Arabidopsis thaliana: one gene and its partner. The protein of the gene in region 1 interacts with the protein of each later gene in a pairwise test. Each region holds a gene or a part of one and is shown on either strand. Other genes may lie near its edges.

Evidence for each region.
Region 2: the proteins of AT1G01260 (region 1) and TIFY7 interact in binary tests that used the Arabidopsis thaliana proteins (3 or more experiments, as listed by UniProt).

Annotation. Positions count from the first base shown.
Region 1 is NC_003070.9:105,133-112,070, reverse strand, and holds AT1G01260 (basic helix-loop-helix (bHLH) DNA-binding superfamily protein), read right to left. Parts: upstream 3,126-6,938; 5' UTR 2,741-3,125; exon of another isoform or gene 2,666-2,740; 5' UTR 2,477-2,665; coding exon 704-2,476; 3' UTR 372-703; downstream 1-371. Other genes in the region: AT1G01250 (Integrase-type DNA-binding superfamily protein), read left to right, coding at 6,762-6,938.
Region 2 is NC_003070.9:26,650,667-26,657,482, reverse strand, and holds TIFY7 (TIFY domain/Divergent CCT motif family protein), read right to left. Parts: upstream 2,716-6,816; 5' UTR 2,533-2,715; coding exon 2,442-2,532; intron 2,234-2,441; coding exon 2,151-2,233; intron 1,657-2,150; coding exon 1,502-1,656; intron 1,414-1,501; coding exon 1,329-1,413; intron 1,246-1,328; coding exon 1,005-1,245; intron 910-1,004; coding exon 734-909; coding exon of another isoform or gene 679-733; 3' UTR 419-678; downstream 1-418. Other genes in the region: HWI1 (Receptor-like protein kinase-related family protein), read right to left, coding at 4,102-4,121, 4,206-4,337, 4,637-5,384. UniProt on the Arabidopsis thaliana protein: Repressor of jasmonate responses. Jasmonoyl-isoleucine (JA-Ile) specifically promotes COI1-TIFY7/JAZ9 interaction. Interacts with and suppresses RHD6 and RSL1 transcription factor activities to negatively regulate jasmonate-stimulated root hair development.

The DNA.
Region 1 (6,938 bases):
ATTAGGACTGAGTTAGCTTAGGAAATCTAGAAAGAAACATCGCATTACCCTTTGACTCACAATAGAGAAACATATTAAAAACGTATTTACTGCAATCTAAACATCAAGCGGTTCCATGGTCTAGCGGTTAGGACACTAGACTCTGAATCTAGTAACCCGAGTTCAAGTCTCGGTGGAACCTATTTTTATTTTTGTTACATTTTCCACCTGTTTCTCTTCTTAAAACTTTTGTTTTCCCCAGGCGATAACGGTTTATGTTAGTTTGAACACTAAAAATGGTGTGCACGAACATCATAGTGTTTCCTCTTGTTCACAAGCAATGAATCAGCTGTGTTTTGTTGTTCTTGAGCAATTCCGTGACCAATCCATAACACTTATCTGACTTGTCGATTAAACACTTCACCAAATCCAACACATAGGACATATCAGAATGAATAAAGACTGATTCATGAGCTAGTCTACGACTTTAACAGATACAACATTATCGTTAATTACTTAATTCCCAGCTTTGTCCACTGTAAAACGAGTAAATGATAATGTCTACTTTTGTCAATAAAACTTCTAAAATCCTAGTTTGGAGGATTCTTACAGGTATATAACCAAAAAAAGGTAAAAACAAAAGATACCTAGAAGAAAAAAAGAACCATTCAAAACCGGTTCTTGATTACAAACTTACTTCCACCTTCTTCTGTCTCTCAAAAGGCTATCTACCTGATGATGTTCTTGACTGAACTGAATTTGTTTGCTCTCTAGACAAGGCCGATATCAGCTTCTCTTTCGTTAATTCTTCAGATTTGACTACAAACGTATGCAACACTGTGTCCTGAGAAACTTCCAGGTTCGAGTTTATCACTTCTACTTTACTCTCTTCAAACGCATGGAAGATTCTGGAAGCCGGATGAGACTCCAACGGACAGTTTATCCTCACTGTGACATCTTCACCTGAGGTTTGAACATTTATATCTGAATCCAAGCTGATAGGTGGATTTGAGCTATACCCTAACCTCTCTCTCTCTGCTTCCATGACCTTTAGCTTCGCGTGAAGCTCGTTTATATAAGAAACCGCGTCTCCCAACAAGGACGCTTTGTCCATCTTGGATATGTTGGGAACAACGGATCTCAGAGCGTAAAACCTCTGGTTAAGCTTCTCACGCCTCTGCCTCTCTGCTTCTACATGGTTCAAAGCTTCCGCTCTTCCGTTGGCAGGTCTCCTTCCGCGTTTTCTTGGTCTGTTGTTACCAGATTCATCAGCACCCACTGCATCTGCCCATTCCCCTCCTCCTTCTCCATCTGAATTATTCTCTGAAGCCCTTGAACTCGCAGCAGAGAAATCTATCTGCATTTGAGCAGGAGGAAGCAGCCTCTGCGATGATTGCTGCAAAGGTAAAAACTTGAACTCATCCGTGCTTGGAACTTCCTTCACGTTGATTGGCCTCGTGTAGTTCTCAGGTTGAACCCAAGTAGGACTCAGAAGAGTGTTGTTGTTGGTGCCTGGGTTCGAAAACATAAACCTGTTCCCATTATTCGGATAAGCATCTAATCTCTTGGGAGCTCTATCATCCATTTTTCTAACCGTGAGTTTCTCTCTAAACTGTCTATGCTGTTGCTGTTGCGGTGGTTGTTGTTGTTGTTGTTGGTGATGCTGATGATGTTGAAGAAACCCTGAATTGTGCAAATCCTTGCCGAATATCTTCGTTCTGTTATCATCAATCTTTTCAGCTACAGTAACAGGTAAAGCAACAGCTCTAACCGGAGGCAAACTACTGGTAAACAATGATCTTATAGACAAGATTGAGTCTTCACTTTCAGGCAAACATGAAGTTGAGCCTAACTCAACAACACCAAGATCAGTAGGAACCAAAACAACAGTCTGAATGCCAGCAGATTTAGCAAGAAACGATCTAACGCAATAATCAGAACCCGAATTGACGACATCGGATAACCAAACAGGTTTAGCAGAGGCAAAACACTTGCCTGGACCACCTTCACCTCGAGGGAATGAGAAATACATAGAAGAAAGAAGAAACATCTCAGTGTCAGTAACTCTATCTAGTCCTAAAGCACAGTTCTCTTCTTCTGAGCCACCAAACAAATCATGAAGCTTTTGCAATACTCTCTTTCTCATAGTCTGATGCGTTTCTTCTTCTCTTCCCATACTTAGAATCCTAACGATCTCTGATTTCTCTCCTTCTTTAGGCTCTCTGCAATATCCATCGCCCCAACAGAGAACCAAATCTCCGGCCTTTGACCTGGAAATCTGCCAGAAAATGGCGTAGTTCCAAGAGAAATTAGAAGCGTTGGGTCTCTCGACGAGATCCGAGAGCTTGTTCTGCAGATTCTCGTCGCTTCCTAGAGTCATCAAGAGATTAGCATTGGAAACAGAGTTGGAAAGCAAGTAATCGAGAGCTCGTTTGCCCAGTAATGACGCAACAATCGCTTTATCGTCCTCGTTCCACACTAGGCGACCAATATTCATCTCTGCTTTCTTTTCTTTTGTTGTTTGGATCCCAACAAAAAGGAAAGACTTTTAAGAAACCCAGATCTTCAGAAATCGATTCTTAAGTCAAATGATAGGGTTTAGAAGTGTGACCCAGATGCAAATATACGGCGGAGTATAACAGTTTTGCATGGAACACCCAGAGATCTCAGATCTTGCCCCTATTTTCTTTAACAACAATTAAATGACAAAAATCAAACTCCACCAACAGAAAATGAGGAATTGAGAAGAATATATTTTTACCAGTAAAGAAGATTTGAATCAAGTCTCTTCCACCGAGATTTTCTCCTCAAAATCAGATTTTTGAGAATCCGACCCAAAAAAAAACACAAATTTTAAATCTCCCAAACCCCACCAAAATGGACAAACAAATTACCTAAATTCCCCGAAAAAGAACCCTAAGAATCCAGAAAATAAAAAAAGATGTATCAGTTTCGCTGTATCGGCTCCCTGTTTTGTCGCCGTGGCCAATTGAATGAATTCAAGGAAGAGAGAGAGTCCGACGCATGTTCTTCGTGCTCTTTTTTATTAAAAGACCAAACCCCAACAAACAAAACAAAAAACAAAACAAAAAGACTTTCATCTGAACCATGGTTAGCTACTTAACTACACAATTGAGTTTAGAAACTTAAACCGGGTCTGGTTCGATTTAGTCTTTGTCTCGAGTCTTTGATACACGACGATTGAAAACCCCTTAGATTATGTCATGGTTTTTGTCAATAATTGATTGACATAATTTTCAATTATGGGTTTTGATTAATTAAAAATTTGCAACAGATCTATCTCAACTGGTGTAGATCTAAACAAATACTATCTGACAACTCGAGATTAGATTCTCATGTTCATGGAAATAACTAAAGGGGAAACCAAACCCAAATTTAGAAGTTTGCTTTCAATTTTTAAAATTTTTGTTTACATAATTGCAAAGTATGCCAACTAAGACCGGTGGTCAAGCACCGGGAATTTTGACCAAATCAATTCACATTCAAGTTAGGCTTAAATATTCGGTTTTTGTTGTGTTTTGTTTTGTTGCAAAGACTAAAGAGTTGTTCCTTAAGTTTCAAATGCTTTCAGAATTATACAAAATAAAAGGCTTATTTTAGTTTAGATCCTTGATTATTATTTTTGGTAATATTATTGATGGTGGTTCTACAACGGGAGTAAATAATTTTTTTAAAAACAAAACAAAAAAACAAATTACTAAATAACTTGATAAATGTTGACAAAACAATTCAACTCCTTTAGAAGAAAGGAAACGCCAAGTCGATAGAGAGGAGGGCGTGAAAAGCACGTGAAGTTCACGTGGATTTAGGAGAGATGACCAGAATGAGAAGAACGTGAGATGCATTTAATTTTCTTTGGATCTCTTTTTCTTTTTAATTTCATTTTCAAATGCGCCTGCACAGCTCTGCACTTTCTCTTCTGTAACGTTTTTTTTTTCTCTTTCTCTTTTTGTTTATTCTCTCGCAACCACAATTGAATTGTAATATATTTATAGCTTTCACTCTTTAAGTCATAAAATTATCATCAAAATATAAACTACGGCTCTGCGAAAATGAATATACAATGACTATATTATTTTGGAAAAATCTTTAACAAACGATAAAGTTAAAACAAAAAATTAGTATATATAGTAATTATGGAAAATGAAGTCACGAGTGGGTATAATATATGTATGGCGGTGAGAAACACACAGCAAAAAGTGGGGACCGCGTGATTCACGTGTTTAAACTATCCTTTATTCGAGACGTTTGGGTCCCATTCCCATCTAAGTCAAACAACGACGTCGACTTACAATATCTCCAAGTCGTCAAGAATATAATATGGGCCGATATTACAATACTGGTTTTCTATGGAATTCTTGTAATGTTGGGCCACATATGTGCTAGGTCAAACGTGATATCAGCCTTTTTCCCAAACCTTAATAATGCCCCCCATCTATCCCTTATCTAGCAATCAGAATTAGAATGGGCTGTTCAACGGACTCAGTCTTGAATTCTTAAATCTCAATCTTATCATATATTTCATTGGTTTTGTTTTACCACAACAAATCGGCCTATTAGTCCAGTTAACTCTATTGTAAGAGTTGATTTAATCCCGGATAAAGTAGTGCCGGTTCTTGGTGAACTTATTCTGAATGCCACTAAACCTATCGCTTTGTTTAAATTTGTACTAACAATATATCAAGTATTCATTTATCTTCAATAATGATCCAAATTGGTTTGATTTTCACACGTGACTGTAAACTCTAGCTTCAGAAACATACTTGCAAGTTGAAGTTGTAACAATAGTTTTTCCTTAATTTTGTTACCTTATAAAAAAAAGAAAATCCCATTTTGGCGTTTATAGTTGATATATTCATGTTACAATGAATTCCGTGTTTAACGTCAACAAAATCGTCACCTTTTTGGTAACAACCAAAAAAAACACAAATCATAAGATGACTACTTTAATCTACCAACAACTCACGAAAAGGAAAAAAGAACCGACCAAAACTTAAAGCTCATCGTATGAACAAAAAAACAAATCTCGAAGCTCAATAAAAAAAGAAATATATATATACATATATACGTCACACACATATACATATATATTTTCAGTTACTTACTGTTTTAAAAACGAACAAGTGTTAAAATTGTTTACACGAAAGCACCCGGAGACAAAACTGATAGTAAAGCCGTGTATGGTCTCATCTGATGTAAGAAGAAAGTGAGTTTCGTAACTCCTCTTGCTATCTATTTCCCCAATTTTTTCAATAAAAAAATTGATTGCGATATTAGTATTAATTACTTGAAGTAAATTTCAATGGTTCCTTGTTAATATGTAGTGACGTGATGGGTTAAAATGTGGAAACCATAGACTTCAGGTGATATTTATCAACTGCCCTTTTGCTTAAGGGATTACAAATCACCGTACGAAGACGTGAATTTTCTTGTGATACCTTAAATTTTTCTTTCCTTAAGAATGATAACTTTAGCTAGTTGTCATTTTTTTCTTCTTGTAATAATCGTACTACATCATGGGAAAAGTTTATATTCTTTTGTAATGGTAATTATAGTAGCAAAATGCAAAATCATGAAAGACATTTTTTTTGAGTAGTACAGATTTATGAGTGGTATAGACTAGAGTTTAGACTATGGTCCCTTCAAAAAATAATCAATGCTAATTTTTAAAAGCAACCTATGTGGACCTGCATTGCCCAAGTATATCATATATATAAAAGAAAATAAATTAATAAGTTAATAATTAGGAAAGGAAAAGGGTTTCTTTGTAGATATATTTTCACGATCATGGCATGCATGCACACAAAATTACACCTAACAAAGTGATTTCATTATAATAATAAATTATTGTAAGCACACTTATAATTTTCCACTGTCAGATACTTATTTTAACTTTGGCTGAAGCTTGTACTCAAATTTTGGAGTAAAATACTTGAGTGTTAATCTTAATATGCAACGTGTATACACAAGTTCACTACGATATGTCAAGATGTGAGTAGGTGTACTAGTACTACTGTACTAAGCTATTAACATTACATACTACATAATATATTTTTAATACCCTTTTAGACTTTAGTTTCATAATCTTTTCAGACATAAGATTTATTTAGTCTCTTTCTTGCCATCGACACTTATTTTTACCAATTCGTTGAAAGAAGTGCTAAAACTATAGGACACAACGTCACCAGTACATGAGCTATTGAAAGCATTTCCCCACCACCACTCCCGATTGCTGGGGAGACAAAGATTTGACATATATACTTTTTGGTTTAATTTGACATATAAAGTTAATTAATCATCGGCGGTATCAGTAGCCCCCATGTTCTTCAATTTTGTTTTTATGCAAGATCGCGCAATTTTTATTTTAATAAATCATCTTTTTGGTACTAAAACTATCACTGATTTAATTTGATTCAGCTGTTTATTGTAAGAAATTTACAACCCATGGACAAACTACAGATATAAAATAGGGAAAATCCTTCCCACTGATTTCTGTATATTATTTTTTTGTATAAAGAGTATATCATTATTATTAGTTACGGCATATGAAATAGAATTACGCACACTACGTACTACTATCCATTTGGCAGTAGATTTGGAAAATTACATTCCGGTAATCGAAAGTCTATGATTTAAATGTACGTTGGGGGCATTTATGTAAATTCAGATAATAAACAGTAACGCTTTTGGTTAGAAAATGGGATTGGATGAGATTATAAATGTAGATAACAGTGTGACTTAACCACATAACAAACTCTTTAATGTCACCACAGAGAATGAAGCTATCATCACCACCAGTTACCAACAACGAACCAACCGCCACCGCTTCTGCCGTTAAATCTTGCGGCGGAGGAGGTAAAGAAACCAGCTCATCGACCACGAGGCATCCAGTGTACCACGGAGTTCGCAAACGCCGATGGGGAAAATGGGTTTCTGAG
Region 2 (6,816 bases), about 27 Mb from region 1:
CTGTTTTCGTAATCAACATGTGAGCTCTTTTGGTTCACAATTTTTTTTTTGTTTACTGTAGCACATAAACTAGTAGTATTTATTCTCCTTAACATCAAATTTTGAACTCGTGACTTTCATAAAAAGCTATTTAAAACATGAATATTTTCCTTTGAAAACATATCATTTTTTGTAATATATCATCTTAGGTATTTTACACAATCATCAACCTCAAGAGAATTTTCACCTTCTTATTTTCTTTACATTGATACCAAAAAAAAACTCGAGAGAATAATAGTAAAGTGGACTTGTTAACAACGAAAGCTGGCGATACAAAACTAGTACTATTCTCTTTAGCGATGCATTCAATATGATTTTGGTATAAATCAATTAAGTGTTCATATAATTAGTTAATGAAGTGTGTTTGTGAAATTAGCAAAAAAAAAATTATAGTGAATTTTATTTGATATTAAATTCTTGACAGACATGAGTCCATGACAAACATATATCTGTTAGTTCTTAAAGTTATAATGTAATCCTACAATAAACAGACCAAAGCATTACAAACAATGATCAAATACAGAGACGCCCTAACGTCTTCTCCTGCTCGTAAGAATATAAATGGTAACTATATAATCATAATCTAATGATTACAATTACAAATTACCATTGTAAAAAAAAAAAAAAAAAGTGTAGGTTTTATGTAGGAGAAGTAGAAGAGTAATTCATTCCACTGGATTCTCCGGTCGACAAATCAAGAAGCATCTTCTTGTATGGCATTGCACTCATAAGCCTGCACCAACAACATCAATTCTTTTAGATTCAATTGAAAAACCTCAAAATTTTCTATAAAGAAAAAAAATACAAAATCAAACCTCTCTTTGCGCTTCTCCAAGAACCGAGCCAAGGATGCTTTCCGAGCTTGAGGGACTGGAAAAAAGCAATTTTCGAGTTTAGACATATGATTTGAGGAAGCAAAAATCTTGATTATATTTTGTTTTGATGTTGATATTAGACACACATACCTGAAGGAATCATGTTACGAGGAGCTGCATTGAATGATTCGATCATGCTCATTGCATTAGTCGCAGCAACGGGTGTGTCCCTACACCTTGAGAAATTATCAGTGTGAGTGGCAGAGCTTGATGAGGTAGCAGCAGTGTTATGGATTTGTTTTCCATACATTCTTTCAGCTTCTCGAACCGGTTTGCTATCTCCAGTTTCACCTTTCAAACCGTTCCCGGCGCATAACATGATGGCTTGAGCCTACTCACATATCATGAATAGTCCGTTTTAGAACATGTAAATGTTATGTAAATGTTATTTGTATGAATCTTGATTATATATACCTTATCGGGAGATATGTCATTAAAGACGCTTATAGTTCCGCCATAAAAGATTGTGAGCTGAGGAGATGATCCGGAGGAAGCCACTCTGTTTCCACAAACCCACATAACCAAATCAAAATATGAAAAGAGCAAAAAAATTGTTGAATGTTTTTGCATCATAATATGGAAATTACCGTGGAACAAGAGAAGGATGAGTTGGTAAAGGAACTGAACCGCCTAGTAAAAGCGGCGTCGCGTTTTGAAACGCACCACCAAATTGGCATCTGCGGAAAACATTGGCCGCAGAAACTGATCCCCACTGGTATGCACCCGGAAACGCCTTAGCCTCCTAATTTGTTAAATTCAAATTTTAATCGTCAACGTCTTTAAATTTTTTGTACATTCTAAATTTAGAAAAATGCCAAGAAATAAACGTGATCCAAACGCCAAACACCAAACGCCACAAAATATTAAATTATTTTTTCCCTAACTTTGCGGCTGGCAGACGACCGACCCTACCAGCTCTTAACTAGCACTTATCCAACAATTTTTTTTCCCTGGTTAATGATTGGCCACATACACAAAAATGATAAAGTTCGGCCATTTATCCGACCATTTTCCGGTGGCTATCTCTTACGAAAACAACTTTTCTCATAAATATGTGATTGATGTGTTTAACATAATTTGAAAGTAAATTCTTCTTTTTAATCAAGACCATAATTGAGTACTCCTCTTGCACATGCTAAAAGACGACCATGATTATGCGGTAGCTTATAGAACCATTAGATTAGCCATAACATCTGAAACTGATACAGAGTAAGTTAAATTTTAAGATGAACCAACCTGGAAATCTGAAGAAGGCATGAAACTTGAAGTAGCAAAAACCTTTGACTTCCCCCATTCTCTAGCTGCCTTCGTACTTAACCCTATAAGTATCATTTTTTATGGTCGTCAATTTGACTAATCTATCCAATCTCATTTTTATAAAAGATTTAATGGAATCTTTTTTTTTTCAAGTTTTGGAATCTGAAAAATTATATTTAAATAAACAACTTTATACGGCTATGTTAAAAGTGAAAACTGATCTCTTCTTGAAACATTAAAATAAAAGATTCTCGAGACAAGAACACAAACCTCGTTCTTCGACAGCATCATCGTTAACCTCATGCTTAACGTTATTACTTAGATACTGCTTGTCGCTCAAACCCAGAAAATCTCTTTCCATTGCAAACCAAATATTCAATGACAAACTCTCAAATTAACGTGTTTCTCTCTGTTTCTTGCCCAAAACATCCAATTTAAAGAAGAGGAAGAAGAAAACAGAAGAAAGAAGTGGGAATCCACAAGGAAGGTTTCGTTTTGGTAATGTTACAGACACACTTTTGGAGAGGCTTATTTAACTCTTTGCCTTTCCTGTTTTTAAAGGCTTGCTTGATTAAAGCATGTGGGGCTTTTTTCTGACCGGTACAAACGGTTGGTGCTACTGGTTAAACCGGTTAATTCACACGTGTTTATTCTTTTGATTTTTTCATTTCTGAGGACCATATACAATTAGACATCCGTCGACCGTCGGTGGCTCTAGTTTATAATAGTGCATGTTTTTTTTCAAAGGTGGATTAATTAGTTTGGCTATTGGATATTTTCTTCGTGAACTCACACACACATGTAAAATGTGTGGTTGCTTTTCTTATGCAACGGTTTGGTATTTATCACATATTTTTTTCTTTTCTTTGAAAATTATTTCAACTATAATAATAAATGAAATGATAAGCCAAGACTCTTTCGTTGAGGCAAAAGTAATGTCACGTATTGGATATACAATAACCAAATCACGAGAATGCTCAATGGGCTGAAAGAAGTTTGATTTGCTTATCTAAGGCCCATAATTTTGTTTACGGCCCGACTTACATTAAATCTGTTCAGTATAACTGTACAGATTTGGCTAAATTGCATTCCAAACTAGACCTCCAAGAACTTGAGTGAACTTTTGCTAAGCTCATTTCATAACACGTGAAATTTTTGAATCTTTGATACATCATGTTGTTATTTGAGACCAATTTTTCTTATTCATATAATGTTTCAAACAGACGCAAGTCATTTATTAGTCATGTTACTCATGTACAAATTAAAAGAAGAACCTGGTTATGAAGCAATCATCGGTAGTACATTAAGAATTTCAGAAAATTAAAAAAAATATGGAAAAGAATTAGACGTTAGTTGGTCTTTCAAAGTCCTAAAACGATTTGGTAGTCAGCTTACAATTTTAAATTATCATTTTTAATGATTAAAGGACATTAGGCCAAGTCTTCAATTGAGTTCTTTAGACAATATGAGAATAAATAATGATGAATACGATGAAAAGATTCGTTCAGACATTCGCAATAGGACGAACACAGTTATCATTTTTTGGATCTCCATCCTGATTTACGGTTTAATATGTTCCATTATTCTCGACACGTTCATTTATTTTAACTTGTTTGTGTATTGATAAAAGAAGCTCAAACCCTTTTAATTACTGTTATTTTTTGCATAGACGAAAAACATGGCATTTATAGAAGATAAGAAATCGAAGGTTTCATTCACATCAAAGAAGAAGATATCGCTTTGGCCTATATAAGTCCGACAATTATACAAAAATCGATTCGGAGATACAATCATATCAATACTATATCAAATTATCAATATACTATAACTACGTACATCTTATGAGGGAGAACAAAAAAAATTACAAAAATACAACTAACAGTGTGGCTCGACTCGAGTTGTTGATTGATATCTTTCCCACTTTGTCCTTTCATTTACACCATTTCTCATCTGCAAAAGGCATATACATAGTAATTTAGATTTTATGATCGATAAAAGAACTGAAAAAAAAACGTAAATCAATATCAAAAATACCTTGTAATTTTCTACAACACTTTCCAACAAAAGCGAGAAACACAACGAGCAAGATGATTAAGGTGACGATTCCTATTATTATCGCCAATGTTTTTCCCACTCCATTATCATCCTTATTGCCCTTCTCTCCTTCTGCCAAATATATATATATATAATTTTAAAACTATCCATCCACCTCTAAAGTTTTTAATAAATTTGTTTTCTCCATCAAGTATAATGTTCATATTTTTATTTATGGTCAACACTATCAATTTTATGGGTTTAAAAATTTAGCGTCGTACACAAATATATAAACCATTAGACTAATTGTTAAGATCAGTCTAATATTTAAATTTTCATCTGAGGTTACGTAAAAAGGTTTTTTTTTTAGTGATTACGACTTTTTATTTTTTTATCTAGTTTAGTTAAAATAAGTTTAGAGGAAGACTGACCATGACCAAAGTTTGGGCCTGGGGTCTGACGCGCGTGACTACCACCAACACTGAAACGCGCGTAACATTTCGACAAGTAAACATATCCTCCCTGAGCCATTCCACAATCAGATTTGAGCCGTCCGATTGCATCAGACAAGCAATCTTGGCACTGTGATGTACTTAGATCACCGGAGCACTGAGCCACACCCTGAACATTCCCGTTGCCACCTGTCCTGTAAGATCCATCTCCGGTACCTAAAGAACCGATGACGTCACTAGCTTTGGTCAACGCATCCTGGTCGTTGAATTCCATCGGCTGTCCACATTTGTTGAGGATCAACGTTTTGTCTTGAACCCCAAGGAACGATTTGTTGTCGTAACGGATCAGACAATTTTCCATCTGCAAGAACCCGGAGTACGAGTTTGAACATAAGGCTCCGACCTGTGCGACGGCGCTTGATACGCACGTCGAGCAGGCGGTTGGGTCTAGGTCGCCGCGGCACTGGTAAATACCGTATACGGTAACGGTTGGTTCCGGTTTCCCGGTGGGAACTGTGAAGTTGGCGTAGCGGGTTTGGGCGGTTGAGGTGACGAAGGAAGAGAGGAGGGAGTTAAGATTTGTCTCGTAGCCGGAGCTAGGGGAGAATTTAGCCGGAGAACAAACGGCGTATATGTAATTGTCAGTGGGGGAGGAGGAAGATGGGTTCATTAGTATAACGGCTGTGAGAAGGAAACAGAGAAGGGACGTCGTCTTTGTCTTGATCATGGTTACTTTTTGTTTTGAGAGATAGAGAAAGAGAGAAGATGATTTGGTAAAATATAAATTGAAGAGCGAAGACTTGCTTTAAAGATAATTGACGTAAAGAAGGGTACTCTTATATGTGGTTCCATGTTGCATGCTTTTGGTTTTTTTTTTTTTGGTTTTTGGTTGGGGACGTTCTTAAGAATTTCCACAATTTGCAAGTTCCATATCATTGAAATTACTAAATAATTGCAACTCTTTCTTCGTTCAGACTTTTTTTTTTAAAGCTATAATGTGGAATTTGGCAATGTGCGTCTATCCATTACAACTTTCTTTTTGTTAATCTATCCTTACTCATGTCATTTGAATTCAATTTTTTATTTTGACAGTGACTCGTGTGAATTCGTTAGCCTCTACCGTTACTACTAATTACCCTTACTTGCCAGTTGCCACTTATCAAGAAGGCAATAAAACTGAGGAGTTAATTTCTTATAGTATTGTGAAGTTTGAATGCGTATAGAAAGGCCAAATCGGCGGACTTACCACGAAATTAATAAAAAACCAACTTCTTTATTCATGTATTATGTATATATAATCAACACAAAAAGATATGAAAATTTGCATTCAACTAGTTTATTTTTCTTATATCAGATGATAGGAGTGACGAAGCAATTCTCGCATTATGTGTGTGTATATAAAAATTGACAATAGTAGGTCTTTTTTTTTGTTTTTCTATATCATCAGAAAAAAAAAGCAATACGAATAATACCGAGCAATGACGACGTATACGTCATGAAAACGAGTTATGGTCATTAATATATTACATGTAGTATAGCGTATAGAGTTTGGATAGGCAATGGTACTTGAAAATGATTTTAGAAGATGAATTTTAATTATATAGAAAGGGATATTGGCGTGCTGGTCGAGATGTTGTATACATTTATGTAAGGGTTGTATCAACATTTTATTATTTTTATTAGTATGATGAGAAATCAATCAAGTAACTAGGCTGCCAACGTCAAAGTTCAGTTACGGGACCGGTGAACGAATAGAGAAGACAATAATGTTATTTGACCGACTTTTGTTTAGTTCTTATAACCACAACACCCATAGACCTTTTCTTTGGCTATAGATTGTTCTTATTGACTTTAGTAATACTATTTCTTTTTGTTGGAAGGTTAGATTCTTTTATTATCCATTGTAGCTCAATTAGTAAAGACCTTAGGCGAATCTTAGAGGTCGCCAGTTCGAATGACGCTTGGGACGAAACTAATATTACATGCTGTGGTTTCGAACCTGAGGGGATTACGGGCTTCGGCCCAGAATTTACTGGTATTCAATAAAAAATAAAAAATAAAAAAATCGTTACGGCTGCAAAAGAATTTATTGTTGTACGTATACTTGAATCTATCTATAAATTAATTACAACATGGATGTTGTATTTTTTCATACTACA